Linked DNA regions of Mytilus edulis. The protein of the gene in region 2 interacts with the protein of the main gene of each other region in a pairwise test. Links are inferred from orthologs where the notes say so. Each region holds a gene or a part of one and is shown on either strand. Other genes may lie near its edges.

Region 1 (16,968 bases), on a different chromosome or scaffold from region 2:
TTAGCAAACATAATCTGTAGACTTGTTTCGTCTTGTTTAAAAAAGGAAAATACAATTTTCAAAGAGATTGCGACGGGGGTCTATTATTTTTCCTATGTGCATAATGTTACATACGATCTTGTGTGAAAATAAATGCCAAATGACTTGACAAAATCGATTTCAGATTTGACCGACGTTATAACACACTTCGTTTCCTGATAACGATGTAAAGGGTTCTTGGAAAATTCAATAGACATTACGTCTCTTATCATTGTGCCGATGATCGTTAGATTGATTTTGCTTCAGCAGTAAATATTACTGGATATTTTAGGTGAATAAAGATAATTTAATAAAAAATACATGTTAATATACCGTTACACTTGGAATGTACAAAGTTGGTATCTTTGTCACAATTTTTAATTATTTTTTTTTATTCATGTTCTGCAAACACTTTTCAGAAACGCAATAAACTTGTCAAAGGAGAAGTAAACTTTTACCATGCATGACTTGAAAGGAAGTACTTTATTGATTTTAGCCCACTAAAGTAGGTTAAAATGTGGAAACCATGTAGATGGTGTACAGGTCACAAATATCACATGGTGCCTATTTTAAAGATTTTAATTCCAAGTTAAAAGTTTTTTTCTTTACTGGATTTAAAGAATTTTACATTGCCAATGATTTGGAATAAATTGTATATAACTGGAATTTCAAAACCAAATATAAATACATTTTTTTGGCTAAAACATCAAGATACAACGATTATGGTATCCTGTATCAATGAAGAAAATATGGAAATTTCTAAATAAATTGTACTAATTGTTTTCAAAACAAGCACATATTTAGGAGTTGTATAATACTGTTACATTTAAGATGGATTTTAAGAAAAAGTATACTGTTCAGATTATTTTAAGCAGATTTTGCAATAAAATAAAACTAAAAAAATGCTTTCGGTTTCTTATGGTTTCCTGTCGCGTTTTAAAAAAAAACTTTAATTTAACATTGAAAATAGATTTTAAATATTAACATGAAGCAAGTAACACTAGTAATGGTGTTCATTTATGTCTTTTGAAATATATTGTGCAAAATAAAGAAAATAAAGATTGGTTTCCTGTCACGTAAACGGTGAATCAAAATGTATTATTTTTTTCTTGAAAAACTCAATTGTTCCATTAATACTATTCTAACACCAACACAACCCACAGAATAAAAGTTAAAGTTTTAGAACTTATAACCAGGTGCTCCGCAGGGCGCAGCTTTATACGACCGCAGAGGTCGAACCCTGAACAGTTGGGGCAAGTATGGACAAAACATTCAAGCGTGATACAGCTCTGAATTTGGATTGTGATCAAATTTTTGACATTACATGTTTTTTTTACACAAAACAAATGTCAAGATTTTACAAATCAATTAAAGATTTCTTCTTCAAACTTTTTAAATCTAAAATTGAATAGTTGACACAGCATAGGTTTCTGACACAGAATGAATGTGGTCTAATGAACTTGAAATATTTTTTTTGCCTTTGAGCAATTCACTATGCTGTTGAATATTAATCCTCTCAAAAAAATGTTTGAAGAAATTTTCTTTTTATTTATGAAATCTGAAATGAGAAAAATTTAAACCCCCCCCCCCCCCCCCCCCCCCCCCCCTTTTTTTTCACATCCCCGTTTCCCTTTTTCCAAAACTGATATCAATTCAAATTTCTAATGGAGTTTGCAACAATAACTACTCTTTTAAATACATCATAAAATATTAAAATGTAAAATAAAGTGCTTGTTATCACTGAATGGTAAAGATTGGTTGGTGGTAAAAGTGAATATACATTGTTTATTGTATAAAACAATAAAAAAAAACTTCATCAGCAACATTTTATATTGGCAAATTTCCAATGAAGTTATTTACATAAAGTTATTGGCAAATAAAAATAGAAAATGACATCATAGTCCATGTCTGGCAAATGTCCAACATACATTATCTAAAAACATTTTAGATAAGATAAGGAAAAAAAGCTTCATCAGCAACATTTTATATTGGCAAATTTCCAATGAAGTTATTTACATAAAGTTATTGGCAAATAAAAATAGAAAATGACATCATAGTCATGTCTGGCAAACATATATTATCAACTTCTATTCTATACAAAGAAAGATAACTCCAATTGAAAATTAATTGCTATTGCACAATATTGTGCAATTATTTATTTCTTGCTATTGTGCAATACTGTGCAATTGAAAATTTCTTGCTATTGCACAATACTTGATATGGAATCCTAATTTGGACCAACTTGAAAACTGGGCCCATAATCAAAAATCAAAGTACATATTTAGATAAAGCATATCAAATAAGCCCAAGAATTTAATTTTTGTTAAAATCAAACTTAGTTTAATTTTGGACCCTTTGGACCTTAATGTAGACCATTTGAAAACTGGACCAAAAATTAAGAATCTACATACACAGTAAGATTTGCATATCAAAGAACCCATTTATTAAATTTTTGATGAACAAAGTTTAATTTTGGACCCCCATTTGGACCAACTTGAAAACTAGGCCAATAATTAAAAATCTAAGTACATTTCTAAATTCAGCATATCAAACAACCCCCAGGATTCAATTTTTGTTAAAATCAAACTAAGTTTAATTTTGGACCCTTTGGACCTTAATGTAGACCAATTTGAAAACGGGACCAAAAATTAAGAATCTGCATACACAGTTAGATTTGGCATACCAAAGAACCCCAATTATTCAATTTTTGATGAAATCAAACAAAGTTTAATTTGGACCCTTAGGGCCCTTTATTCCTAAACTGTTGGGACCAAAACTCCCAAAATCAATACCAACCTTCCTTTTATGGTCATAAACCTTGTGTTTAAATTTCATAGATTTCTATTTACTTAAACTAAAGTTATTGTGCGAAAATCAAGAATAATGCTTATTTGGGCCCTTTTTTTGCCCCTAATTCCTAAAAAGTATTCGGACGACGACGACGACGCCAACGTGATAGCAATATACGACGAAAATTTTTTCAAATTTTGCGGTCGTATAAAAAAGGATACAAAAAGAAACCAAAGGCCGAATACCAAATTATGGTCCATATATGTCTTTTACCTTCAGGTGAGTTTCTGGGTTTCTCTTCTGTGTATGAATGAAGCTTGGAAACTGAAATTTTAAATAATATAATGTAGGCAATAACTCAACAAGCTTGTCAATATAGAAAAGGGCAAAGATTGGTTTAGAAAGAAACTGAAATTGTCAGAAATTCTGACTGATTTTACATCACATGTATCATAAGAAACAATATAATTTTTTGACAAAATCACTATTTCCTTTTAAATTCCATAATATAAATTGCCATAATTGTACTACTAGAACACTGTAGAATATTTTCAAATTAATTTATCACAATAAATTTGTAACTCAATTTACTAAATTGTAATAACAATTTCTCGGTATCCATTATATTCATTCCAATTGTTGGTTCTCTTCTATATATATATATTTAAAGCATGGAAGGTCGCTCTCATACACTGACCAGTAGTTATTTATATTCCAAGTCTTTGTTCTTCCAAAGCCTCACATCACCTTATTTTATAAGTAAAGGAATTTGCTGTATTATTACATAAGTTATACTTTTAACATATTATAAAATTCTTAGACCTATTGCCCATGAATCATGGATTAGTTTAACTGATATGACTATTGTATACCAGCATAGGATCTCTAATGAAGAAGATTGGTGTATTGTTCCCCACTAGATCCCAGTTACCATCTTCTGTATACATCTTTACAGCAAATCCTCTGGGATCTCTGGCAGAATCAGCAGAACCACTTTCTCCTCCTAAAAATAAAACAGTGTGTAATGGGAGATAACTCTAGTTCTAAATTTTTCATTTTTACTGGATTTAAAATAATCTGAAATTGATTTTATTTCAAATAAATCAGAAAATATCACTTCAAATGTAAAATTGTCTCTCAGTTCTTAAAAAATAATTTAAAATAAAAATCAGTAAGACAAAAAAAAACATGATAAATAAAAATAAAGTCAAATCCTAACTGAATATGGGAGCTAACTCGGTATAAAATCATGTAGCAATGTATCATTCAATAGTTACATGTAAAAAAGTAACTTATTCTTTTTTTTTTAAATATTTACAGCTTCTTTTGCTTGGCAACCAGAGCCATGTTGGAACATGTAACGCACATGACTCCCAATAAAATTTCAATGTCAGTTACATTTCAAACAAGCCAGGGAATCAAAATGGACAAAAGTGTATGTGTTGCTAGTTAATGAAATAAAATCCTTCTAAAAGTAAGATTACATGTTTATTTTTATATTGTGAAATGGTTGTTTCAAGATCTAGATCTCTGTAAGTCTTTGGCCACGTCTACTTGTATTTTTGTCCATCTAATGAGTTAAGCCTTTTTCAACTGATTTTTATAGTTCGTTCTTATGTTGTACTGTTATAACCACTGTCCCAGGTTAGGGGGAGGGTTGGGATCCCGCTAACATGTTTAAACCCGCCACATTATTTATGTATGTGCCTGTCCCAAGTCAGGAGCCTGTAATTCAGTGGTTGTCGTTTGTTTATGTGTTACATATTTGTTTTTCGTTCATTTTTTTACATAAATAAGGCCGTTAGTTTGAATTGTTTTACATTGTCTTAGCAGGGCCTATTATAGCTGACTATGCGGTATGGGCTTTGCTCATTGTTGAAGGCCGTACAGTGACCTATAGTTGTTAATGTCTGTGTCATTTTGGTCTTTTGTGGATAGTTGTCTCATTGGCAATCATACCACATCTTCTTTTTTATATTTTAAATGGTTGCCTTTCAAAAATGTCTTGAAGATCCTAAATGTTCCTATTAGATTTTAAATAATTCTATCACACCACAGTGTTCCAGCTAGGCCGTTTTCAGAGGGCGCGGCGCCCGCCCTTTTCCGAGTGGCACCCTGTGCCCTTTTTACAGTTTCCAGGGCGCCCTGCCTTTTTTGAAGATCGATTGCATATTAATTTGCGTATTGATATGATACGCTAATTACTAAATTTTACCTGGGGAAAAGATTATGACTTTGTTTACCACCCCAAGCTAATCAATGGTTACAACTGGTGTCATAATCTGTTGTTATAGGTAATCCGTTGATCGGATGGGTCATTATGATCATCAACATTAATTCGTTCAAATAGAATCGGTCAGTCGGCAATTATCTTTGAAGAAATGTGCATACAACAACTTGGGCACAATTTGCGATGTTTACCGTAGTTTCATGGAAGAAACGTAATGACAGAAAGTTGGAAAACCATTATAAACTCGTTGAAGACATTGTTTTACTTGTTTTCTGTAAAATAAACAGAAAATTCAGACGTATTTGTCATTGACTGCCTTCATTTTTGATACGAAAATAACAAAATCATCCGCCATATTGTGATCATATTTACATCATATTTACGTACTGTTTATAATCCTCCAAAGAAGGAGCACACCCGAATAAAGAAAGATAACTCAATCTGATTTTTTTTCCTAGCATTAAGTAACCCATTTACATATTCTAAAATGTGTCTCCATACTTCTTGCTTAAGAATATATATGTTTAGGTATTTATTTTGAGTTATGGGAAAAGTTAAAGAGGGTCTTAGTAGCAGTGTTGGTAGGGTGCCTTGGTCATCTTTTTCTGTAGTCTTTATTTTTGATACTATTTTTCACTGTTGCTTTATATCCTAAAATTGTGAATTTACTGAGCACAGCTGTTTTGTGCTGTATTGCCATCAAGCACAGCAGGGGTAGAAAGGTGAAACTGGTAAAATGTGGTAGACCATAGAAACAGTATGAAACAGATCTCCTTTCAAAACATACTGCATATAAAGTTCAACTGTGCCAAGCAATGATAAAAAAACTTGTGTGACAAGCTGCTTGACAAGTTTTTCAGCCTTAAAAGTAGAAAGATAGAGTTCTATATGGGCTAAAGATGTTGTTCTTGTATAACCTGTGATTCAACGAATAAACACAAATGTTTGATTAACATCTTTTATTAAAATATGCCCTTTTCATATTATCATATCGCGCGTTAAATGCCCTTTTTCAGGATTGGCACCCTGCCCTTTTGAAAACCTAGCTGGAACACTGACACCATGCTCTATGCTCATTTCTAAATGAGAAAAAAAAATACTGTTAGAAGATAAAGCAAAACACTTTATTTTTCTTCATGAATTGTGTTCACTATGTGAACTAACTAATAAAAAAAAATAATCATAAAATTGAGGAACATGTGGTGCAATACATATAGATTCTACCACTGCATAGAGTGTGATACGATATTTATTCACTCAAACAGTTAAATTTTCAAATTTCAAACGCGAGGCTTGCTGAGCGTTTTAAATATTCAAAATTTAACTGTCAAGAGTGGATAAATATCGTATAACACGAGATTTGGTGGTGGAATCTGTTTTTCTAATGATTTTCAAACAATACACAGGCTAACTTATTGCTTCTTTGCGACTGATCTGCAAAAAGATGTGTTCTTTCTATGTAACGTCATCAGGCATGGTCGCCTTTTTTCATGCCGTCACAATAGGAAATTAAGAGGAAAAGAAGAGTATTCAACGTCATAATCAGATTTTAACCAATGAAGAACTGAGATCAAACGAACCACGCGTTCATTATTTTTTTTATATTATGCGTGCAGAAAGGGATTAGAGAAATGTAAAAATGCCACTTACCAACTGTAGAGAATCTCACTCCCAGAGGTGTCTTTTTACCAACAAATTCAAATGGCTTTGCCTTGCAGTACTTAGAAATATCATGTGTGCACTCAAAGTATCCAAATGCTCCTGTAAAATAAGTCATAATATGTTATAACTAAGGATCTCACTAACACTTATTAATGACATTCCTGTAAAATTATTCATCAGTGAAGTTCAAATCAAAAAAAGTCTAAAGACTAAATAAAATATAAAGTTGAAGAGCACTGAGGACATTTTGGAACATGTGGTCATAATTCTGGTTACTGTTTACAGTTAAATTGTAGATCTTTATGCTTCATGTCTCGAGCTCATTGGGTCAATTCTTAAGATGAGAGAAAAAGATTTTTTTTATTGTGAATCTATTTATTTTTAATGGGTATCAATTTTCATGGATTGAGAAAAAATTGTATTTTCATGGATGTTTGATTTTTCTGGCTTTTGAATGAATCCACAGTATCCAATCTAGAAGCCATGTAAATATATGTATAACTTAATCATATGTGCATGTTAATTACACTTAGAAAAATGAAAATGACATGAGCTGTAGTGTAAATAAAAATTCATGTTCTGATCAAAAATGATATACAACATACATGGAAATGCTAATACATTTTTTTGTACAATATTTTTTTTCTCAATAAGACATATATGAATGGGAGTTTTAACAATAGTCATGTTTAACAAGTTAAATTACTTTTTTAAGCAATTATTTAATTGTAATAAATTGTGTAATATGCTATGTAGATGCAGGTATGATTAATCATGTTAATATATTTACTTTAAAACTATTAACATGGCAGCATGTGCAAATGTAATCTACATCATGTACATTGTAATATTTCAAGATTGGTTACAAATTTAAACCTTCTACACATATGAACATGAATGGTTATGTGATGATTATGTCAAAGCACTAACTGCTTAAATTTTAGTAATTGCAGAATATAAGTTTGAAAGATAAACATGTAGCATTAATAATGTTTATTGTGTTTGAGTATAGCATTGAATCATAGATTCCTATTAATACTATAATATATGTACCAGCTCCTTTAGCATGTACTACTCTTTCTGGTATTCTTTCTCGGTTGAAATGGGCCATTTCATCTGTGAAGACAAAGTCTTGTAACAGGACTGGACCTCTTGGTCCAACTGTCATTGTGGCTGTTTTGGTGCCAACAGGGGCACCTGTTCCAGTTGTCAAGACATCAGGTTTCTGAAAGGAAAAAAGAACATTAAAATTTTAGTCATTTGTTACTCTTGTCTGTCAGTTTTGCCTTATCTCTTTACAAACATGATTTGAATGTACTGAATTTTAGAACAATTTTACAAATCATAGATTGCTTATTCTTAATTAACATGATTAAGGCACAGTAGTTATTAATACAAAATTCTGAACAAAAACAATGCTGAATGATGTGGAAGGCTAAATTAAAACATAACACCGTGCTTGAGACATTTTAATCATGATAATTGTGTCTTTTTTAACTCTTGCTGTGGAAACAATATTCTATTATCACAGAGCCGTAAGCATGCTACAATTAGACCACTCAAGTGGTTCCATCACATTTGATGACATGGATCAAACGGAACATTTGAAAATATGGCTGAAACAAAATTGCATATACCAAACTCTAGTTGTTGTTTTTTTTATGAAAGAGTTCCATTTGATGACCTTCATGTCAATCGTTGTATAAGACATAGACAAATAAACCTGCATACAATTGTATCATATGTACATGTTGTATTACAACAACATCATGAACATATTTAAAAACTAATTCTAATGCAAAATTGTTTCTAACATTCATTTTGATTGGATATCTAATAACTGAATAACATCACAAATTTTCATAACATTAATTCACAAATTGATGATATGAAAAAGCACCCACAAACGCAGACAAATTTCAAATGTATATTTGACATGGTTTTGTCAGTTTCATTAGAATGGAGATAATAATATTGTATTTTCAGCTATGACAGCATCAATTAGAGATTTGATGGTTGCAAATACCTGTTTACCATGTTTACTGGCTCAGCTAACGCTTCACTACAAAACGTATTTTAGGGCCCATTAAATCACCTATTAATGCCGTCAGAGATTAATTTACGATACCACAAATACAGTTATCTCCTAAGAGGGGGTAGAACCTTTATCAGGACTCTGGAATCGGGTGTTTTTAAGCTCTGGATTTCGGCAGGATCCGGGTATTCATTTTTAGAATTTCGGGATTTAAATTTCTTTAAAATTGGGACCTCAGGATTCCATGTTTATAAGCCTAATTTGGGATCAGGACCCCTCCTACCACCACCTACCCCCCCCCCCCCCCCTTTCTGAATACTGGTGAGTTCTACACCTAATATCTTGAATATAGAACATATAATTCTAATCATTGTGCACATATAAAACCTACCCATTAATACATTGTGACATAGGAAATGCATAGTGAATGAATTTTAAAGTTGTGGGTTTTTTTTATGTAATGTAAAACTAAAAGTGCAGCGTAAATGTCCTGAAAACAGGGTTGCCACTGCTAACAACAGTTCCAAAGCAGACCCTATATCATCACAGTACATTACTTGTAAATATAAAGAGCATACCGTCTGTGATTCTTTAAAATTGAGAAGTTGGTTTGTTGCTTTGTCTCTGTTTGCCATTTTGTTAACCTGTCAAGTTCCAGTTTTACACACTGCACGAAGTCCAAACAGTACTTGTGTAATTTCTAGGTCACTTTAGGTCAAGGTCAAAAGATAAATTTTGTCGCGTTCGATTTGCCATTTTTTATTTTAATCATGTAAATAATGCCATTCTTTTCTAGCATTAAGAATATACTTAATCTTATTTCTTTCGTTTATCAATTTACTGATAAATTTTGGTTATTTTGAAAAGAACTATAAACAAACAAAAAATTTACAGTTTCAACAGTAACACGTGGACTAATCAAACATTCTATAGACAACTTCCGGTGTCCGAAAAAGAAAGTTGATAATCAATAATTTTTGAGTCGGTTTTGACGATTAACAGAGGGTCTCCAAAATGGGGAGAACGGCGACACTCGCCACTTGCACATTGAATCAATGGGCAATGGACTTTGAAGGGAATTTGTCAAGAATAATAGAAAGTATGGAAGATTTAAAAAAGAGCTGATTATAAAACTAAAGTTGTGAACATTTCTTCTTCAAAACATATCATCATATGCACGTTTTCACACTCTTGTTAGTCTTGAAAACAGAATGCTTAAGTCTATCTTTTTAAATAGCCTTTACAGGTACAAATTAAACCCATATTTAGAACATAGTTGTATGCCAAATGATATGAGTATTACACTTGTTGATAATATTGAATTACTTTACAAGAAAATACATGAATATTAACTGAAACTGGGTAACACGAATGACCGAATAACACTGTTATTTTCCGAACAACACTTGTAATGACCGAATAACACTGTTATTTTCCGAACAACACTTGTAATGACCGAATAACACTGAAATTTTAATATTATAGGGTTATTGCATGAATATTGTCCCGAGTAGAATTTTATATTGCACGAGCTTGCGAGTGCAATATATATTCTACGAGGGACAATATTCATGCAATAACCCTTTTATTGTATAGCAATATAATATTTGAAAGTAAAAATTGGTTTAAACTAAGATTTTGTCGTTGATGACGTCATAATTTTTACGATTTATTGCACTAGTGCAATATTAGAATTTATTGCACGCTAACTTTTGGTTACTTTCTGTGGGAAATATTATATTGCTATACAATAATATCACATATTGGTGACTTTTTAACATTGATAATTTTAAAAATAATAATGTATTATCGATGTATTTTTTAACTTAAAAATGATTTACAAAAAGCAGATAAGTTCATAAAGATACTTTTGAATTTAGTGTGTACATCGAACATGGCAGGCATTGTAATTTCTGTGGTCGCCATATTGATGTACACACTAAATTTTAAAAGTTTTTTATGAACTTATCTGCCTTCTGTAAATCATTTATAAGTTATAAAATACATCGATAATATACTATTAATTAATAATCAATGTTTAAAAGTCATCAATATGTGCTAAATATGAAATTCCAAGTGTTATTCGGTCATTATAAGTGTTATTCGGATATTAACAGTGTTATTCGGTCATTCGAGGTACCGACTGAAACTTGGTAATTTGAAGAAATTTCATATCATAATTTTTAATTTGTTTCATATTTTACGTAAAATTAATACATCTTGTTCACATACAGAATCAAAAGATGCAGTTGCATTGTCTATTGCTATAAAATTTTAAGTCAATACTGTCATTAGGCCACTTTTTTTTATTAGTTGGAAGGGTAGGATGTCGAAAAAAAATTAAAAATAAAAATAATGAAAAAATATAGGGTAGGAGGTCGTAAAAAAATTAAAAAATAAAAATTTGAATTAATACTGGTTTTTTTTACCAAAAATGGAGAGAAACAAACAATGACGTTACTCTATATAATAGTATTATACTAATTATGTATGCAGATTGTTTCATAATTTGGTATTAATTCTTGCTGTTTTAATATAAATTAAATGTGTTACAAGGAGTCCAATGTCAATGTAGATTGATGAAAGCAGATATATATATATATATATATATATATATATACATGTACATGTTCCTGATGAAAGGGAAGTGTCTTTTCCAATTGCATTTCTCTTTGTTCTGTGTATTTATTTATCAAATTTAGATCAGGGAGGGAAAAAATTCCTCATAACACAATACATTCTTATTGAGGAAATACCATATATGTGCTCTGCATGTCATATGCCTTCATATGTGGTACATGAAAACATGTCCTTTTTAGGCTTTTTATGCTATTTTACACTGCTAAGTATTAGCTTATATCATGTATATCTCGAAGTGTCCTGTGATTGTCCCTTTTTAGCTCACCTGGCCTAAAAGGCCATGTGAGCTTTTCTCATCACTTGGCGTCCGTCGTCGTCGTCGTCGTCGTCGTCTGTCGTCGTTAACAATTTTTCAAACATCTTCTCCTCTGAAACTACTGAATGGATTTGAATGAAACTTAACATGATTGTTCCTTAGTATATCCTGCACAAAATGTGCGCTTCGATTTTTGATCCGTCAAAAAACATGGCCACCGTTACTTAAAATAGAACATAGGGGTCAAATGCAGTTTTTGGCTTATATCTCAAAAACGAAAGCATTTAGAGCAAATCTGACATGGAGTAAAAATGTTCATTAGGTCAAGATCTATCAGCCCTGAAATTTTCAGATGAATCAAACAAACCATTGTTGGGTTGCTGCCATTTAATTGGTAATTTTAAGGAAATTTTGCAGTTTTTGGTCATTATCTTGAATATTATTATAGATAAAGATAAACTGTAAACAGCAAAAAAGATCAGCAAAGTAAGATCTACAAATAAGTTAATATGACCAAAATTGTCAATTGACCCCTTAAGGGGTTATTGTCCTTTAATGACAATTTTTCACAATTTGTTCATCATATTTGCTAACTTTAAAAAATCTTCTCCTCTGAAACTACTGAATGGATTTGGTTAAAACTTAGCATGATTGTTCCTTAGATTATCCTGCACAAAGTGTGTGCTTTGATTTTTGATCCGTCAAAAAACATGGCCGCCGTTACTTAAAATAGAACATAGGGGTCAAATGCAGTTTTTGGCTTATATCTCAAAAACGAAAGCATTTAGAGCAAATCTGACATGGAGTAAAAATGTTCATTAGGTCAAGATCTATCAGCCCTGAAATTTTCAGATGAATCAAACAAACCATTGTTGGGTTGCTGCCACTTAATTGGTAATTTTAAGGAAATTTTGCAGTTTTTAGTCATTATCTTGAATATTATTATAGATAAAGATAAACTGTAAACAGCAAAAGAGATCAGCAAAGTAAGATCTACAAATAAGTTAATTTGACCAAAATTGTCAATTGACCCCTTAAGGGGTTATTGTCCTTTAATGACAATTTTTCACAATTTGTTCATCATATTTGCTAACTTTAAAAAATCTTCTCCTCTGAAACTACTGAATGGATTTGGTTAAAACTTAGCATGGTTGTTCCTTAGATTATCCTGCACAAAGTGTGTGCTTTGATTTTTGATCCGTCAAAAAACATGGCCGCCGTTACTTAAAATAGAACATAGGGGTCAAATGCAGTTTTTTGGCTTATATCTCAAAAACGAAAGCATTAAGAGCAAATCTGACATGGAGTAAAAATGTTCATTAGGTCAATATCTATCAGCCCTGAAATTTTCAGATGAATCAAACATCCAATTGTTGGGTTGCTGCCACTTAATTGGTAATTTTAAGGAAATTTTGCAGTTTTTGGTCATTATCTTGAATATTATTATAGATAAAGATAAACTGTAAACAGCAAATATGATCAGCAAAGTAAGATCTACAAATAAGTCAATTTGACCAAAATTGTCAATTTGACCAAAATTGTCAATTGACCTCTTTAGGAGTTATTGCCCTTTAAAGACTTTTTTCACAATTTGTTCACCATGTTGACTTACTTTAAAAAATCTTCTCTTATGAAACTGCTGTATCAATTTCAGCCAAACTTAGGCTAAATGAGTTTCAGAGTTTCAGAGTATCTAGTATAAATTTTATATTTCATTTCCTTGTATGTCAAGAAACATAGCTCCTATGGCTAAAATAGAACATAGGAGAAAATGATTTTTTTTTGCTTTTGAAGAAAATAGGACGATTCAAAGAACATTTAAATAAATTGAAAAGCCAAAATAATCATTGATGAGAGATTAAACCAAAAAAATTCAGGTGAGCGATTCAGGCTCTTGAGAGCCTCTTGTTATAAATGTCGAAGTGATTTTAATTGTCAGGCATTCTATGACAGTAATACATGTTCTGATTTTGTGTTGGGATCTTGTTCACCATATCCCATCTTTGTTCCATTAAATCTTAATGGGTACCGTGGGATGGTATTTAGGTATTTATATAACAAGGCCAATTAATCAGACACCCATCCCTGGCAGCAAGTTAAAAGATCCTTCCCTTTTAATAGTGACGTCTGGCAAGGCTATTTAAAAACAAATCTGGGATGCCAGGAAGCCTTGCCAGATGTCATAATTATTTGGACTAGTACCTCATATGTGTAATGGAACTAAAACAGCCCCTTTCGACGGGTTTCAGACTTTCTGATCGACACTGGAAGTTTGGAACCAAAGTTGACCCGCCATCAACCTCACTGACTGTCTGAAACAGGGGTTCAAATTAGCTGTGGTCCGACAGGGATCTCCATGGCCTGTTTAACGATGGCGCCCCTCCATCGTTCAAATGTCTTGCGCCATCGTCAAATGACTCGCGCCATCGTTAAATTGTCTTGCGCCATCCTTAATTGTCTTCCGCCATCGTTCAAAACTTCATCGTTTTGTGTAGCCCAACGCCATTTTTTATCAATTATAATCAAATGCATGTAATTGCATAACCCTTAGGCTTTTTATGTTATAATCCAATACAGTTCTAACGCCTTAGGGATATCCGGATTAAGATCGCTAATCACTTGTACCTGAGCTTGTACAGGTAGATCAACAAACCAGACAGGAGAATACTATCTGAGGATAGACGATCCATTTGTCGAATTAATCAACATAGTTTCAGCAAATGATTATGATAATTTAGATTAAATAAATTAATTAATAATCCAGTTACAAATAAACAGTTTAACAAGTCGAACACAACTTTATTTTGACTTACGCAATCAGCATCACCTTTTTTTAAGAAGTACAAAATAAGACGCAAAACAGTAAATATTATTTCATCGCAAATAACTCAAGAACTGCTGTAACGATGAGTTAGAATTACTTTAAAAGTTTAAGGGTAAAAACTTAAATATTTCCTGTAAAGAAATATCGTATCGTAATTCCGAATTCATTTCGTATATTACAATCAAATTGATACATTGGCGTTTCCGGTTTCTATTCAGACTCGAATGATGCATGTTGCACAGCTTCAATTTGCCAGATAAAGTCATTAAAAACCTTTTCATTTGTCAACGTTTGCTTTAAAAATCTCTTTAACCTTTTACATAACCCGTACGAATCGTTTTGTAATTGCTGCAAATCAGCCATACCGGTAATGGGTTCTGAATTTGACAGTGTTCATGAAAAATAAGCTCCACATCATATGATTTTTAATTTTAACCCCCATAACAATTACCAAAAATAATTGAAATCTACATGGGGACCTTCATGACAGCTTTTGGTTATTCTACACTAAGGGGGGGGGACCATGAAGAATTGGCATTTGAATGGTTAAAAACGGCAATAAATGAAAATATTGATACTTCTAATTCTACAATGAAAATTCAAATAAATATAATTTAAATAAGCAATGAATTAGCATGTTCACCATTCCTTGTATGGAGGGATAAAATACTTCCGATCGCGCTACACTGTACAGCGTAGACACGGTTTGTAATGGTGAAAGTTCCTCCATCGTTCAATTTTCATCCATGGAGATCCCTGGTCCGACCTTTTAAACCAAAATTCCCAAACGATCTCAAAAATAATTTTCATTTTTATTATTCATGACTGCGATGTTCAATTTGTTCAACCGCTAGATTTACACCGAAAATCTCAAACAATTAATGTGTAAATCTAAGTAAATATTGTAAAATCGTATTTGGTCCTCCATTTTCAACTGGTTCCTTTTCACCGCATTAGATCATGATGAAACGTTGACTGAACAGGGAACCGCCTTTCAACAGGTTCCTTTTCACAACATTAGATCATGATGAAACGTTGACTGAACAGGGAACCGCACGGGATTTTCGAATCCACTCTGAGGGTATTCCGACTGGAAGAAGAAAGACCGATCTTTTTATATCATTCATGTTTTTATTTTTATTTGTACTTCTTCAAACAGAAAAGGGTCGGCGGAATTAAAAAAAATCTTCAAAATCGTTTTTATTTTTATTTTAAAATCGTGAAAAACAGGGTCGGCGGATCCGTAAACCATCAAATAAAAAAAAAGTGGCCTTAAAATCATTTCAAATCATTTCATTGTAAATGTTTGCCCTCCAAATCTTTATTCAATTATTAAAAAAAACTGTTACTAAAATACTTGTTGTTGATCAAGTTGATGAGCACTTCAAGTCTTCGATCCTTGACTGTTTGTGACTTCTGAATTTGACAGTGAGAAAAAAAATATTTTGTTGTTATTCCTAAACTACATGAACTATAACAAATGACAATTAACAAAACTATTGGTTACATTTCCCTGAAAATAGGCAGTTCACATGAGATAAGTTATGTATATTATTTTATTTACAGCTATTAAGGACTTCCATTTTATATCACATTTTTAGAAAACAGAAATGGCTAAGATGAATCAGATTTGGAGCTAATTCAGTAGCTTTGAACTCACAATTGTTTTCCCTTAAAAGTCTTAATTTTAGATGTTTATATTTTCAGGTATTCAAAAGGCTAAAGAGCTTGGTGCAACTTACAGATTAGGCCCTGAGCTGGAGATAACGTTAGTATAATATGACGCAGAACAATTTCAATTTGTTTTTACAAAATATGTACATGTATGACCATTAATAAGAAGTTTTCTACCAGGTAATTGATTTTTTACTTTTACCATTTATGCTGCCTTCAGGAGCAATGCTGCATATACATGTAATATTTAGTGTATAAGAAAAGGTGTAAGCATGGTAAGTGTCCAGTACTTGAAAATCTAAGATATTGACAGTTTTTCTTACATACTTTTTAACAAGAATTTTTTTTGAAAATATTCTTTCGAACATGTTGAAATTAAAAAATGATAATAGCATCAATTGTTTTTGTAGAGGATATGGATGTGCAGACCATTTTCTGGAGAGTGATACATTCTTACACTCATGGCAGAGTTTGGGACAGATTCTCACTAATCCAGTTACCCAGGATATTCTTTGTGATGTTGGAATGTAAGTTTGTATACGACCGCAATGATTTTTATACGACCGCAAAAATTAAAAAAAAATTGGTCTTATATCGGTATCATGTCGTCTGAAGACGGATGATTTCCGGAAATAATAACCATGATAACTTTAGTACAAGTAAATAGAAATCAATAAAATTTTAACACAAGGTTCATAACCACTTAACATGCTAAAGGAAGGTTGGGATTGATTTTGATGGTTTTGGTCCCAACAGTTTAGGAACAAGGGGCCCAAAAGGGGTCAAAATAAGCATATTTCATTATTTTTCTAGTTTCCAGACAATAACTTATGTTTAAG
Region 2 (16,968 bases):
GAATAAAGCATAGTGAATGTTCAAACGATAGAAATAAAAGATAACTGATTTCTTTTTCTTTCGTAGCTTGCAAAATAATGAGATATGATGGATTTGGTAGTTGTTAACTTCTATGTCATATTGATCTCTGGTACAGAGTTGTCTCATTGGCAATCATACCACATCCTTTTATTTTTATTTTAGATTCCTTCTTAGTATCTCTAGAGCATAACTAAGTTAAAATGGTTGAAATACTGACTCTTCAGTGTACTTTTGTCACAAATATTCATGAGTTACTTTTATAATCAAAAGAAAAGTACTCACAGACAGCCAAATCCATAAACATGATAAATAGTATCTAAGAATATCAACAAAAACAATGTAATCTTGTTTACAAAATATCAAAGAAATCTTAACAGTTATAGTGAGATTTAAAATTTTTATTGTTTTGCACATGCACATGCAAAACAGTTCTGATATTCGAATTTGCTACTGTTTTCATATGTCAATCAGTTCTAAGGGAGCTACCATTTGATTTTTATGGGGGGGGGGGCTAGGATGAAAAATTTTGTCCTGCCTTTTTTTTTAGCTGTAATCTCTGTCCTGCCTATTTATTTTTCACTCTGTTCGGTCCTGCCTTCTTTTTTTTTTTTAGTTTATCCTGACTTTTTTTTTACCTAAATTGTCGTCCTGACTTTTTTTTTTGCAAGTGTCTCATTCTGCCTTTTTTTTACTCAAAACTCCTGTCCTGCCTATTTTTTTCAAATTTCATCCTAGCCCCCCCATAAAAATCAAATGGTAGCTCCCTAAAATTCAAGCATTCATAAATCTACCCATGTTCAAGATTAATATCCCAATTACCTGAAAGCATTGACTGGTGGGTTGTTCACTTCGAAGACAGCAACCTGTCCATGTACTGAATAATCCACCATCTTCCTAATTAATATTGTACGTTAAACTTTGTCAGTCAATTCAGGTAGACAAACTTCACTGATAACCAACATCCTACATTATGAACCCAACATCCTACATTATGAACCCTGAAAGATAACATAACTATTGACCAAGGTAAAAAATAAAATTAACATAATCATGGTTATTTAATCTTATTTTGAAATTCAGACACAAGAGGAACTAAACAAACACACACTAAATAAAATCAAGGTATACATGAACATGTATTTTTTAAATATTTTATAACAATGTGTGTTTCAGCATAAGACTAATAATCCTGATGCATTGCAGTAAAATCATGAAAATACTAAGTAAATTAGAATCATATTCAAAACAGTGTGGCTGTGGCCATTGATTGACGACCTAGATTATCCCATTGACTGGGACAGATTATGTGAACGTTTGTCTTTAAAGACCACTGCTCACTATGTACTTGTTAAAGACACTTAAACTGTGGGGTCACCAAAGGTTCTCAACACCTAAGCTATTCGAAAAATTAATCAGGAATAACACGATGTTATGATTTATCTCAATAATATAAATCAAAACATAAAGGTTATTCCTGATTAATTTTTCGAATTATTTTATTATTGAAGGCGTTAAGAACCTTAGGTTACCCCACAGTTTAAATTTTATAATAAGTAAGACAAACGTTCACCTAATCTGTCCCAGTCAATGGGATAATTAAGGTTGTCAATCAATGGCCACAGCCACACTGTTTTGAATATGATTCTATAGTTATCACAAAGTTTATGATAATTTATGTAGAATATTTTCATGTAGCTATAGGAAACATCAGCAATCAAGTAAAGCCTCCTTGGCCTGACTGTGATTTATATTTGTTCCAGAATTCACTGCATTAATCTATCTAAATAAAAGTTTCAATATCGCCATTTGCAAGTAATGAGAAAGAATCATTATTAAGGGGGCGCACGGTTATAAATCACATTTTTTTTAGATAAAGGATTTCGCTACTTTTTTCTATAAATAAACTTTATCCTATACTTACCATAAAAATAAAAATAAAATATGGGGCCACCGTTCATTTAAGCTCACAATATCCCTTTGAAAGAAGCATGCATTTTTGTTAAGGTACTTATTTTCTGTTGAACTAATAGGAGAAAAAAAGGTAACATCCAAATAAAAAGAGAACTAAATTACAGAAATTGCTTAAAATTTTACAATAGTTTAGTTTAAGAACAGGTTATTAACAAAAAAAAATAATAAAAAATATAGGTCACCGATGATTTAAAAAAGATATTTCAATTCAAATGCAACATGTGCAAAAAAAATGACAATTTTTCACCAAAGGGAGATTATTTGGAACTTTTTCAATGATATAAACATTTTAAAAGTCATCTGGGACAAAAACTAATTGATTTTTTGGTTGATTTTTGTACCATATCATAAAGTAACAACTAACAGTGTAAAAAATAAAATTTGTAATGAAAAAAAAAATGTTTGCTGAATTTTTTTAACCCTCGAGCCTCCTTAAAACCTTTTGTGGTAGTAACAAGTACAGGGTAATAGAATATATGTAATATACTTAAAAACCATCAAATTAAAGTAGTTAAATCTATTAATATCTTGCTTTTTGCATAGATCAGATAACCGTGGTGAATACAATTACATAATCATATTTTTGGAAAATCAAACAACCAAATAATATATTCTTGCACATACAATGACATAGGGGTAAAGCTAAATATTATTGTCTAAGTTTATAGGCTTTATAAACAACATCAGTGTAAACATTAGGAAGTGATATCTTGTTTTTTATAAGAACACTACAGGTAACAGCAAATTTTCGGGCGATATCTTTTTGCGCCAAAAAGTAACTCATTTGCGCCACAACTTAATTGCGCCAATACCTCTTTTGCGCCACCTAATTTTCAAAACTATAGGTATCATTTGCGCCAATAAAATAATCATCTAATTGCGCCAATTTTAATATTTTTATCTATATATAACAACGAAATGATTGACTAGGTACCAACAGCAAAAAATTCCTCTGACATTGTACACTGAAATTTCAAATTAGCCTCCGCATCCTAATAAAATTATACCGCTTTCTGGATCGTTACACAATACAAAGTCATCATCTTTGTTTGTAACAACACCAATATCATCCAATATTCTGTGAAATTCTGCTCGATTTTTATATTAAGCCGGACGCAGTTTTCTTCTCTCTATATATACATACTAGACTGACACACATATTTTAAATCTTTCTTTTCTAAATTTTCTTCTTCAATTTTGAAGATCTCTGAATTTATTATTTTTGAAGGTCGCTCTGACAACACATTGGTTGCTTTTCTTTTACACGCAGTTCTCAAAATATGACGTTCTAATTTCTGGACACTGATAACGAAAATATGATATTTTATACTGACAAAATCTGCTATGAAATTTTAATAAAGCCAAAATGTATTTTATACTCGTGATAGTTGACTTGTATTTGCATTATAATTTTAAGAAAAAATATATATTATAGTCTCTCAAAACTCTTTATAGAGTGGCTCTTGTTGTTAACTAGTGTTTTGAAAAGCTGTATATTTTATATGTTACAAGTGGCGAGACTTTAATAAAGTATTTGTCTTGTCTTGTCTTGATATAGGTAAAACATGTACAGGTATGATATAAGTAAAAAAATATTAACAGGTAAATGTGGCGCAATTTCATTTCATTTATTGGCGCAATTAATACCATCATAATAAAAAAGAGTGGCGCAATAAATACCTTTTCAAAACTGCAATTGGCGCAAATTGATTCTGCCCAAATTTTCTAACCAAATCTGTAATGCTAACAAAGAATTTGGTAAAGATTATAATTAATTTGTGGTTATGAAAACCAAGACTTAATAATTTATCAGTTATACATAAATAATGTTCATTTATATCTAAAACACGACTGCAGACACAGGCATAGTGAACAAGTTGTGAAATATACACAACATAAGAAAGTAACATCTTTGTCAAAAAATTTGTAAGGGTTCCACGAAACCCAGTGTCTTGCCTACTTTATGAATCTAATAAATGTTTTAAGAACTTTAACTACAGACTGTATGTAATGTTAACTGGAAGAAAAACTAAGTCCATATATAAGTAACATATGGAAAAACTGGAAATATATTTTAACAAAATTTCGTTCTAGATACTAGCTTTTGATTATAAACAAGCTTCTGTCCAAGTTTGGTAGAAATCCAGGATAGTTTATGAAAGTTTTTAAAATTTTAAAAAACTTTAACCACAGAGTGAATGTTATGTAAACTTGCAGAAAAACTAAGTCCATTTATAAGTAAAACTTGGATAAACAGGATTTTTTTCTACACAAAATTATATCTGGATACTATCTTATGATCAAAAACAAGATTCTGTCCATGTTTTGTAGGAATCAAGGATAGTTTAAGAAAGTTTTTAAAATTTTAAAAACTTTAACAACAGAGTGAATATTTGTGTACGACCTAGAAGACGATGCCGACAACGAAATGTAGGATCGCTTTGTCTCGCTTTTTCGACAAAAGTTGATTGGTAACAAAAAAGGAAAATTAACAATCAAGGAACCAACATACTTCTCAATTGTTTTGTTATATAGCATGTGTAGAGTTTCCTGTGTGAAATTGGATATCCTTTAAATAGTGCAACTATTGTTGGCTGTATTAGATTTAATCAAAATAAGTTTCTTTTGGTATATTTCAGCTGTAAAATGTAAAATGTAAGAATTCTAAGCAAAAATATCATCAATGTAACAGAAAACATTTTTAAATGTAGTGTTTTTAAAAGTTTCAATATAGTTTAGACAGATCTTTTACTGAATTTGGCCATCAACTGAGATTTATTACAACACAAGAACAAGTCTATTATTAAAGAGGCTCAAGTAGTTCCCATAGGAATACCTTAAACCTGTTGATTAACATTATTCCTAGAAAGTACATAAATGTTGTCATAATGAAAATTTACAGCTTTAATCATTTGATTACAGACATTTTAAAGTATCATTTATTAAATAAGAGAAATTCTGTTTAATAAGATTGTGTGGTAGAGTAGTATACATAGTTAAAAAATTATAACTGTCAACTGAATTGAATGGACCATCAAAAGCACATAATTTGTTTAAAACTTCCAAAGAGTTTTGACAAGTTCAAAAATAAATCAAAGCTTTCTCAAAATCAATAAAGAGCAGTAATCCAAAAATATTGTTCTCTTCTATATACTGTAAAATATCATGAATCAATCAAATGCTATCCCTTATATAATAATCCAATATCTATTTCATAAAGATCCAAAGACCAAAACTTAAGTAATTGTTCATAAACCAAGAAACCCTTGTTTTTCCCCCTTTTTTTGCCCCTAATTCCTAAACAGTTTGAGCCAATCCTATCCATCCCTTTGTGGTATGGAAACTTTTGGTACAATTTCAGAGAGATCCACACACTGTTTCACAAGTGTAACTTGAAAAACATATTAAAAGAAGGGAAATAACTCTAAGTTTATACAAAGTGTTTCAAATACACAGATAATAATGATTGTTTGCCTGAGTTAAAGGGTGTTAATCAATAGAATTCCTGACACCCTATGTCATGTATGTGTTAATTTTTAATAAAATATCTATATCATTTTCTAAATGGATGTTTATTATCTTATGGAAACCAAACTGAGAAAATAAAAACAAATAAGAAAGAATATCCAAATTGGGAGATCAATTTTTGTCATTGTTAAAACAATAAGTTTATAAAAAAGAAGATGTTTGAAATACAAAACAAAGTAATCAGATATTGATTAATTTTAACATTCAAGAAGAATATTAATTGCTTATTATTATTTCTTTGATGAACATAAGTTTTAATTATGCTTTAGTCAATATTTTCTGAAGATCAAGATCATGTAAAAATACAGCACCTAAGCTGAATTCAAGCAGATACAAACATACATTGGATAGTGTTGTATAATCATATATTTATGTTGTAACCTCTATGGAATAATTACTTTAAGGAGGCTCGAGGGTATAAAAATTTCAGAAAAAAATAAACATTTGTTTTTCACTACAAATTTTATTTATTACTTTTTGTAGTTGTTACTTTATCATATGGTACAAAAATCATTCAAAACAATCAATTCGTGTTGGCCCCAGATGACATTTAAAATGTGTACATCATTGAAAAAGTTCCAAATTATCTCCCTTTGGTGGAAAAATGCTTTTTTTTGGCTTTAAAATTGAAATATCTTTTTTAACTCATCGGTGACATATATTTTTTAATATAATTTCCATATAAGCTGTACTTAAACTAAATTATTGTAAAATTTGAGAGATTTCTGTAATAAATTTCTTTTTTTATTTCGATATTACCTATATTTCTCCTATTACTTCAACCACCTTTACAAAAATGTATGCTTCTTTCGAAGGCAGATTGTGAGCGCAAATGAACGGTGATCCCACTTTTTTATTTTAATTTTCTATTAACTATAAGATAAAGTTCATTTATAGAAAAATATAGAGAAATCCTATATAAATGATTTAGACCCGCGAACCCCCTTAAGTACATGAAGTATTGATCATATGTCTTTACAAGGACACATGATGGACAATACGTCCTATGGACAATGTGGTGGTATTGCAGACACCTATATATATGAATGTCATGGAAATGTGATTGGCCCGTCTTCAAAGCGCTATTGTTACATTCCTAATTAATTGGTTCCTAAACCAATCCAGCATTCTGGTTATAATACTGAGCGTCCAACAAAAATAATCTTTTTTTGTTATTATTACATTACTATATGCTGATGTATATGTACATATATAATCAAGCCAGTACTAGTCAGAAGTCGCAAGCAAGTAATCATACTAAACCTTAAATTATTTTTTTTCTATCACTGTTCCTTACATGTCTCTCTTACAGGGGGTGGGTAGTCCACAATATAGGAAAAAGTAAAATCACAAAATACTGAACTCTGAGGAAAAGTCAAAACGGCAAGTCGCTATAATCAAATGGCAAAATCAAATGATGAAACACATCAAACAATGGACAACAACTGTCATATTCCTGACTTGGTACAGGCATTTTCAAATGTAGAAAATGGTGGATTCACAGAAAGTCAATCAAAGAGCAGATTGATCTGAGGGATACGATTGCCATTGCTTTCATTGATACATGTATTAGTATTTAGTATTATTTTCAAAAATAATTCAACTGCACATGTAAAATGCTTGTAAAATGTAATTTACGTAAACTGAATAGTTATTCAACTTTAAAAATAGCCAATCCTTGATACAAGTTTATGAACAATGTAATTATTGTTATATTTTTGTACTATAAATTCCAAGTTTACTTTCCACAGCAGTCACTGAAAGTGAGAGAAGGTATTTCACTTTGTACCTTATCACCTATTTCATTTGTATTTTCCTACGTGAATTCTAGGTGGAACCCCATTCCTAACATTTTAAATATTTAATTTCCTTTGGGTCAGTGGGCATGAGTCCTTTCCATACACATTCCTCTGTTTAAATTGCGATCGGTTTTAATATAATACGTCTATCGACAGAACAACAAAAAATTGAAGTTTTGAACGACCTTGACCATTGTTGACTTGTTATACAGCCCTAGCTTGCACGATCGGTAACCGACAGAACGAGTTAACCCTCATTAGCAGACAGACATAGAAAGGATCTTGTGAGTTTCAAATTAATCAATGGAGTGGGGAATCTAGAGCAACCACTCAATCTGATACCCCTTCAAGTCAAGAAAACTATATGCATGCACATACCTAAACAAACCCTAGACTTGTGATTTGTAGCAAGGATGTATATTAAATGTTAATTAAACGACCTCCATTTCTTTATGGAAGTACAATATCAAATATCAGTTTCATAACGGTGACATATAAGAAAACTCCACTTCAGTTCTTATATGACAGAAATAGATTTTATCGATCGGAATTAAGAAAACTCTTGCATGTTATCAAAACTGGGGAATTCCCTCTGATGTGTTTCTAAATTTATAAAAACACTAAATATAAATACTGCTTAATTCTGATTTTCCGTGTTGTAAAAAACATGCATACAAGTCAAGGGAAATATCGAAACATGAAGATTATGAGAAGAACATTAGAGGACAGTTGTTTAAATTCAATCCTTTTGTTTTTTATACCATTTAAAGCATGACAATCTCAAGAATCTGAGATGTTCCTTGATGTTTAGAATAAAACGGTTGATGTGAGGGCATGACCCTGAGTCAATGGTATAAGTCTACAGATTGCTTAAAAGCAATCGTATCCCAAAAAAAGGTACTTCAATACCTCATAGTTATTTGGACTAGACACACATACACAAGGGCGCATATCATAGACCTATATATAAAAAAAGAAGATGTGGTATGATTGCCAATGAGACAACTCTCCACAAGAAACCAAACTAACGCAGGAATTAACAACTATAGGTCACTGTATGGCCTTCAACAATGAGCAATGCCCATACCACATAGTCTGTTATAAAAGGCCCTGAAATGACTGTAAACAAGAAAAACTAACGGTCTTATTTATGTTCAATAATTAAATGAAAAACAAATAAGTAACACATAACAAACCACAACCACTGAATTGCTGGCGGCCTGACTTTGGACAGGCACATACAAATAGATTGTGGCAGGGTTTAAATTAACATTTTAGCGTGTCACAGAATACAAGTTCCTTTATAATATAAGTTCCAAATGGAAACAATAGTCTGGAATTTTATTTCCACTGGAATAAATATTACAGTAAATGCTCCTAATGGAATAAATGGTATAGAATATTTGTTCCAAAAGGAACATATATATATACGTTGACAACCGGGATCATGTTTAGGGGTAAATATATGCCAACCTTTTTACATAATGTATAATGCCCACCAGTTGACGGGCATACAGTGATATATTTCTACCCTGAAAACATGTATGATAGGTACATACCCCTGTGGACAAGGGAGGGGTACATGTATCTCATTGCAAATATTGTACAATATAAAGTCCTTGATCATTGACTTCTCCTGTATATTCTATTTCATGACAAGATTAAATAAGCCAATAAAACTTGTGAAATTTGCATTGTAGACCTACAAAATAATAAAACTTGATATTTTGTTAGGCCCAAAAATACTCTCCAAAAATAACACTCTTTCCAGACAAATTTTCAGAAAAATTAGGTCTTTCATCCCGTATGCCAGTTTCAATTATAATAGTGTTTCTATCGGCCTTATCTTGGAAATTTCGTTTTTACGATGTTTTTCCTTTGATTAAAACGTTAATAATATTCATTATTATCTAAATTGAATAATTTAATATTGATGTATTATTGTATGATATAATATTACACATGATCGGACGACACTAATGAATTTAGCTATTCAGTTTCGCTTTCACTTTTCATTTCTAATTTTAGAAATGGCTGACAATGCACTTGCCAGAGATAAAATAACAGAAACACACAAGCCAGGCAGTACATCAAAGGCAGTTTTAATTTCAAGATTTTCAAAGGAAGTGACTGATTTCAGCAGTCAGTATGGTAGTGAAACAAGTATATCTTACACAGTCAGCAACCTAGCAGGAAGGAGTAACATATTTCCTGCTTATGGAGATTTTACACAGGCTGCTGTTTTCGTAAGATTTCCAGATATTAGTTGAACGTTTAATCATTTAAATTAGATTGAAATAATTTCATAAAATTCTTTTATGAAAATTTATAGGGTATGGAAACTTGGTGTTTTTATAGGACCTTCATATTGACAATTTTTGAGAGAAAACATTTTACAAATGTACATGATGCAATTTACAAAGTTTTTAGTGGAAGAAGACGTCAAGTCTTCTGAAGACTTAAGGGGCTGACCATTGGCATTGAGTCTCCGTATGCCGCATTCATTTCGTGTATTACAATTTCAAAACAACTTAGATTCCTGACACCGATTTTTACACATGATTAGGCATCTGAATCATTTAATTTGTAAATTATGATTGTAAAACAATCACTATCGTAAATATGACCCTTTTATTTATGTAAATTATTAGATTTCATCTCATCCACATGAACGTTATTTGTTTACTTGTAACAGGATGTTTTAACTGTAGATATTTGTATTACGCATGCGTGAATTTGGTATCGGGACAACTCGCCCTGTTTACAAGTTCGCCCTTGAAGTTACGAATTTGCAATCCTGCAGACAAGAAGATTTTGTTTTTATATAAATAAAAAGGATATATAAAGTGTTGTCTTTATTCATGGTTTTCCTTTGTCATGTGAATTAGATGCCCTTCGTAACATACATGTGAACCTCCCGTTTAGGAGAAAAAACTCCCGTGTATGAAATTTTTCAGACGCCATATTTGATCATTTCTTACTACTGTACGGGTGTAATTGACACCTGTGTTAAATTTTACCTGAACATCAAAGAAGATGTATAATTATAAGGCTTCACTTGACAGCTTGGGTGTCAAACATACTGGTAATCAACGATGTTTACCTCCGGCTAACTGCCGTTGTGTTATCAAAACGATGTGTATTGGGCATATTGAAATATTTTTTTGTTACTTCCCTTTGTTTTATCCTGTTTTCAGTTATTTTGCTTTTAAAAATGTAAATTGTAAAAAGACTATAAATGATTAAGATTTTAATCAAATAATCATAAACATGATAAAGGGATGTTGATTAAATGAATTTAAATGATTTTGGACAAATAAAAAAATTAAAATTTATAAATTATTTTAGCAATCTAGACCTCCTTTCAAGGATTAAATTGAAGTTTATATCATAATTTTGTTTACAACAGAATATTTTCTTAATTAATTTACGATGTTGCAAATATACATGTGGAGCTTATTTCTTTCTTATTTGTCTATACATTTACAAATGATAAGGAGATGAAGACATGAACAAAAATATATACAGATAAGATATATAAATATAATGATTCATTTGCTAGCAGTGAACAATCATTTGTCAAAAACAAAACAAAACAAGAAACAGATTCTTCTTATTATTTTATTTTATTCAAATAGAGAGGCAATAATGGAACTATAAACATTACAATTTGATGGAAATTTGAAGAAAAAACACAATTTCTACATCATTTGGTTACATTTATGACAAAATTTATGTCGATAAAAAAACATGATGTTTTGACCATTCAGTACTTAACCCTTTCCTCCATAATGACGCTTTTTGACGCCACCCCCTTTACTCCATAATGACGCCTTTTGACACCTGTGTAGTACCTCAGTTGAAACACTTTGACTACAAAGTGTCTGCAGTAGACTCAATAAAATTTGTATCCAATATGAAAAGGAATATCATAGGAATATTCTACTTAAATTTATTTAATGAAATATTTGTTTTTTGCAATGCATTTTAATACTTTAAAGCCTATTTTCAGCATTTATTGAAAAATTCTATTTTGTGTTCATTTTTTACAGTGGGTTGTGATGATCTTCCAGTTAGGTTACCCTCATTTGGAGTGTTGTTCCCAACCTGTTAAAGGTCCATCTTTGTGCATAATTCAAAATTGGAAATTTCAACAACATGAACAAGCATCTAATATTCTTAATCTGGAAAATAAACCCTGGTCTGCTAGCTTCATGTATATTTTTTCTACCGATTTAATATATAACTAGAATCATGCAAACAGACTTAAGGAAAAGGCATGTAAGTTCATCATACAAATATGACACTTTTTCTAGACAATCCAGATCTTGCAAAATACGTCGCTAAAAATTGTAACCTTTAAAATTGTTGTGCAGTAAAAACCCATATGGGAACTTTCAAAAGTTGGCAGGTATGTAACAAGTCTTACTATTTTTATGCTCCATTTATGGGCAATATGTGTTCTAGTCTGTCCGTCCGTCCTGCTTCTGGTTATAAAGTTTATGGTCGAGGTAGTTTTTGATGAAGTTGAAATCCAATCAACTTGAAACTTAGTACACATGTGTTCCTCTTGATATGATCTTCTTAATTACTGCCAAATTAAAGATTTTACCTAATTTTCATAGTCAACTGAACATAGAAAATGATTGTACGGATGGGAAATCCATGTACTTATGACCTTTTCTTGTTTGAAGAAAAAAAATACATTTTAACGATAATGGAACAAAGCAGCCTGGGTAAGTGGGGCTGCTTTTATGGTTATTCAAGTTACCTTTTATTCACCTTCTTCCACTTCAGAGCTATCAGCTCTTTGATTTCTTTTACAGAGAACATACGGACCATGGTGGAAGAATGTAACATCTTCACCTCGTAAATTCAAGAGAACACCACCTAACTTCATAAGTGATGATTATGTTGGTAAGATAACATTCAAAATAGTTTTAGAGTGGAGTCTATTTGACCAAGGATTTGTATAGTTAGATCTTACTATACAAATCCTTGATTTGACTACCAAAATCTATGGGAAAAACAAACCTTCTCATTTATTATTAAATTTAATGGACACATATGATAACAGAAAAATTTGGTCAGCATTTCTCAATTTTTGGGATACGATTGCTTTTAAGCAATCTGTAGACTTATGGCAGATTCCAAAAAGAAAAGAAAATTTCCGTCAAAAAGAACAAATTAAGAAAAATAATACTTACTGTTATTTGAATGATAATATGTGAATGTTTTATTGAATAGTAATGTTATATAAAGCAAGCAAACCAATTATTGGATATGATTGTTTCCATTAAAAGTAGAAATGATCACAACAAGTTGAAAAATGTGAAATGTTTGACGGAAATTACTTCCCATTTTTTGACACAAGGTTCATGTTTTACGAGGCTTTAAGTTGACACTGGTATAATGGTTTTTATTAGTGTAGTCTGATTATTCAAACATCTCTGTTTCCAAATCTTTTGCTTTTCTTTTGTTAAAAACATCTGTGATATGTATTTTTTCAATTTCTAATACCTTACTTAGGTAGCTACCATTTGATTTTTATGGGGGGGGGGGGGGGGGGGGGGAGGGGGGGGGGGGGGCTAGGATGAAAATTTTTGTACATTTGTACATTATACATACACATTTTGGATCTTTCAATTTACTTTATTTAATCAATAGTTTTATCAAATCTGTTGCTAACATAATTTCTGTCAAACTTGTCATTTTATGTTAGCAACGTTTGGATGTGCTACAAATTAGAGTTATCTGTCCTGGGTTAAAATCTTTTTAAATTTCAGGCATCGGTATTTTGCAGGAGTTCTTAATATGACTTTCAACTAGGATAAGAGCTCCAATGTTGGTTAAAAATCTCAAATATATATTGTCCGTCAAATTTATTTATGTTAGCACAATCTTATGTTAGCAACAAGTCCGTCAACATCTTATGTTAGCAACACTATTTAGTCCGTCAAATTTTATGTTAGCAACAATAATGTCTGTCAAATTTAATGTTAGCAACAAAAAAGTATGTCAAATATTATGTTAGCAACAAAAAAGTCTTTCAAATGTTATGTTAGCAACAAAAAAGTCCGTCAAATATTATGTTAGCAACAATAAAGTCCGTCAATTTTTATGTTAGCAACAACTTAATTTCTGTCAAATCTTATGTTAGCAGCATTGCATATGTCTGTCAAATTTTATGTTAGCAACTCCAAGATAATCCGTTTTAAAAGTTATTCCAATTCCTTTTTTATTGGTGCAGATGTTCAGAAATGTTTTATTCCAATTTGCCTTTCATGTTAAATCAAGATAAACATCTAAACCTTGAAAATACTGAAAATATCAAGATTTTTTGTGTTGCTAACATAAGAATTTTCCGTCAAAATGTCTGTCAATTTTGTTATGATAGCAACATTTTTTTAAGGTGGTCTTTATTTAAAAAATATAATGTGAATAGATCTATTTTTGGTCAAAAAGTGTTTACTTATATAAGTATAACATGTATTCCAAAACAGAACTTCATTGGTGTTGATATTGTTAAACATAATTTTGGGAACTTTTCAACTTTCTTATTTGGAATCTGCCTTATACCATTGACTCAGGGCCATGCCCTCACATCAACCGTTTTATTCTAAACATCAAGGAACATCTCAGATACTTGAGATTGTCTTGCTTTAAATGGTATAAAAAACAAAAGGATTGAATTTAAACAACTGTCCTATTATCAATGTTCTTCTCATAATCTTCATGTTTTGATATTTCCCTTGACTTGTATGGATGTCTTTTACAACACGGAAAATCAGAATTAAGCAGTATTTATATTTAGTGTTTTTATAAATTTAGAAACACCTAAGGGGTATCAGATTGAATGGTTGCTCTGGATTCCCCACTCCATTGATTAATTTGAAACTCACGAGATCCTTTCTATGTCTGTCTGCTATCAGCTGCTGCTATTGAGGGTTATTGTTGTTGCATAATTTTAAATCATGATGCATCATTTTAATTAAAATAAATGTAGTTCACAACGTAAAGGTGTAACTAGAACACCCCTTCAGCCAAAATGAGGTCTTCCATATTATCGCGTCGAGAAAAATTAACTCGTTCTGTCGATAGACATCGTATTATATTAAAACCGATCGCAATATAAACAAAGGAATCTAAACGGAAAGGAGTCCTGCCCACTGACCCAAAGGAAATTAAATATTTAAAGAGTTAGGAATGGAGTTCCACCTAGAATTCACGTAGGAAAATACAAATGAAATAGGTGATAAGGTACGAAGTAAAATACTTTCTCTCACTCTCAGTGACTGCTGTGGAAAGTTAACTTGGAATTGATAGTACAAAACTAAAACACAATAATTATAAGTACATTGTTCATACACTTGTATCGAGGATTGGCTATTTATAAAGTTGAATAACTATTCAGATTACGTAAATTACATTTTACGAGAATTTTACACGTGCAGCTGAATTATTTTTGAAAATAATACTAATACATGTATCAATGAAAGCAATGGCAATCGTATCCCTCAGAGCAATCTGCTCTTTGATTAATGTTTAGACCTCAAACTTGCATTATATCATGTTTATAAAACATAAGTAACAAATTATCAGAGATTGTTTTCATGTAGTCCATTATTTCAAACTGCTTGATAATTTTTATCAAAATCTTGTTTATAGCTGTCAAGATTAGCTTAAGGTAACACGATACCGAATGGCATATCTCCCGATTTCCAAATTTTTTGGCATACGTGTACTTTGAATCGAGTTACATCGGAATATGTAATAAAAAATGGGGGTCACCATTTTTGTTTTTTTGTAATTTTCATAGGAAAACATCAATTTTGGCGACAAATTTACTTAGGTATATAGGGGAAATGCCTTTTTTTCGGCTTACCTTTTTAGATTTTCGAATGGATGGCTATTTTCTTATATACGGAGAAAAACGAAAAACTAACATAATATCCAGGATTGCATAGTGAATCCAGACACGTATAGAAACTCATATGTCACCATGCTTGTTTTTGAAATAAATGGCTTCAAAGTTGATCGATAGGCCTAGAATTTGACCAAAAACGTGTGACGTTATGGTGTACGGAATATAACGTTATTTCTTCTCAGAGAATGGAGAAAAACATATGTGTCGGGATCTGAATGAGTATATTTTATTTTCATTTCCCCTGTCGACTGTCGTAAAGTTCCTAGTAATGCAATATAAAATTCTACTGAATCAGATATAATTTTATTTCGTCCTTCACATGGAATTTCACTTATATGAATTAATATCAATATCGTCCGATTTTCACATCAAACGAGCATATACTTGAAACTTGCGTGAACAGGTTCCATGTGAATCTTATGATAATAGTTCATGCATAAATCACCGGAATTTTGTACACGTTAAATTCACGTAAATATTTCAAATAAAATTATTTAAATAATATCTTTGTTCTAAAATTTGATTAAAACCATAAAAAATACCTTCAGATTTTTGTTAAGTTTACGTGAAAATTAAATGAAACATTTCACGTGAGATTTATCCGAATTACTGATTTTAAACTCCATCATATTAGACAATGGTAGTATCATCACTGCATCCCATGATGCAGAAATATGGTATTTAAAAAAATTTGATTCATTTAACAGTTTTTTAATTACTCGGTGTGATGGTTGTTTAACGTTCAGTGGCAAATAGTTCATGCATGTTCGGGACGATACACTACAATTTTGAAAACAGTTGTTTATAAAAGACACATTTGATGCACCAGTCAAAAAAGATTAAACATTCTGTTATTTGTGAAAATAATGATCATGATAAAATACACATTCCAAAAAATAAAACAACAAAACTCCAAGAAAAAATCAAAACGAAAAAATCCCTTATCAAATGACGAAATTAAAAGCTGAAAAACATCAAAAGAATGATAAACAGCTGTCATATTCTTGACTTGGTACATACAATACATGTAGTATACTGTACTCTGCGTGGTGTAAATGTATCAAAGTAATACTTTTTAAAGATTAACAATGAACAGAATGATGGCTGGAAAACGACAAAACAATCTATGTCAAATAACCGCTACGTATTGCATCAAAACTCTCGGCACTCTGCACATAGGGAAAGTTACCGTTAAAAATGCCACACAAAACCCGCTGCATTGGCTTATATGTGTGAACGTTATTCGATAACGTCAGGAACGATAACTCATGGCGTAACGTCATTCGGTATCGTGTTACCTTAAGTGGTTGTCTCAATGCTATAGTAATTGTCAGTGGGTTTTTTTGTGCTCATTAATACAGTTATCAGTTAACATGGTTTATATCTTTTCTGTTTTTCAGAATTGAGTTTTGATTTAGATGTTTATCCATGTAAGATTGAAGTTTGGGAAACTTATAATCCTGGATCAGTAGTGAGAATCTTAGCTTGTGATACAGCTTCAGGGACTGATGTAGATGATGGCAGAGTTAGGTAACATACTATTGGAATTATATAGTGTACATGGTCCAATCAGGGACTTTCTATAGAATTAACTATCCCTGTACCAATACATTTCTCATAAACCTTCAATACACTCTAAATGAACCTGCAATGATTTTTTTCTAGAATTAAATGATTGCTATTATAAAAGTAACATATAAGATGGTCTTGATTCATTGGATT

What was found.
Region 1: the proteins of peroxisomal bifunctional enzyme-like (region 2) and catalase-like interact in a two-hybrid assay, tested with the Homo sapiens proteins (2 studies listed by BioGRID, with this or other methods). The link is inferred for Mytilus edulis from reciprocal best matches to the Homo sapiens genes EHHADH and CAT.

What each region holds. Positions count from the first base shown.
Region 1 is NC_092353.1:84,437,548-84,454,515, forward strand, and holds the start of catalase-like, read right to left. Parts: upstream 9,473-16,968; 5' UTR 9,371-9,472; coding exon 9,314-9,370; exon of another isoform or gene 9,255-9,313; intron 8,018-9,254; exon of another isoform or gene 7,926-8,017; coding exon 7,754-7,925; intron 6,800-7,753; coding exon 6,689-6,799; intron 3,812-6,688; coding exon 3,681-3,811; intron 3,133-3,680; coding exon 3,082-3,132; intron 1-3,081. Other genes in the region: glutamine-dependent NAD(+) synthetase-like, read left to right, coding at 9,750-9,834, 16,163-16,223, 16,540-16,656. UniProt on the Homo sapiens protein: Catalyzes the degradation of hydrogen peroxide (H(2)O(2)) generated by peroxisomal oxidases to water and oxygen, thereby protecting cells from the toxic effects of hydrogen peroxide.
Region 2 is NC_092345.1:89,859,852-89,876,819, forward strand, and holds the start of peroxisomal bifunctional enzyme-like, read right to left. Parts: upstream 9,120-16,968; 5' UTR 9,026-9,119; exon of another isoform or gene 8,879-9,025; intron 1,020-8,878; 5' UTR 912-1,019; coding exon 841-911; intron 1-840. Other genes in the region: F-box/LRR-repeat protein 4-like, read left to right, coding at 9,350-9,565, 12,146-12,236, 16,647-16,776. UniProt on the Homo sapiens protein: Peroxisomal trifunctional enzyme possessing 2-enoyl-CoA hydratase, 3-hydroxyacyl-CoA dehydrogenase, and delta 3, delta 2-enoyl-CoA isomerase activities. Catalyzes two of the four reactions of the long chain fatty acids peroxisomal beta-oxidation pathway.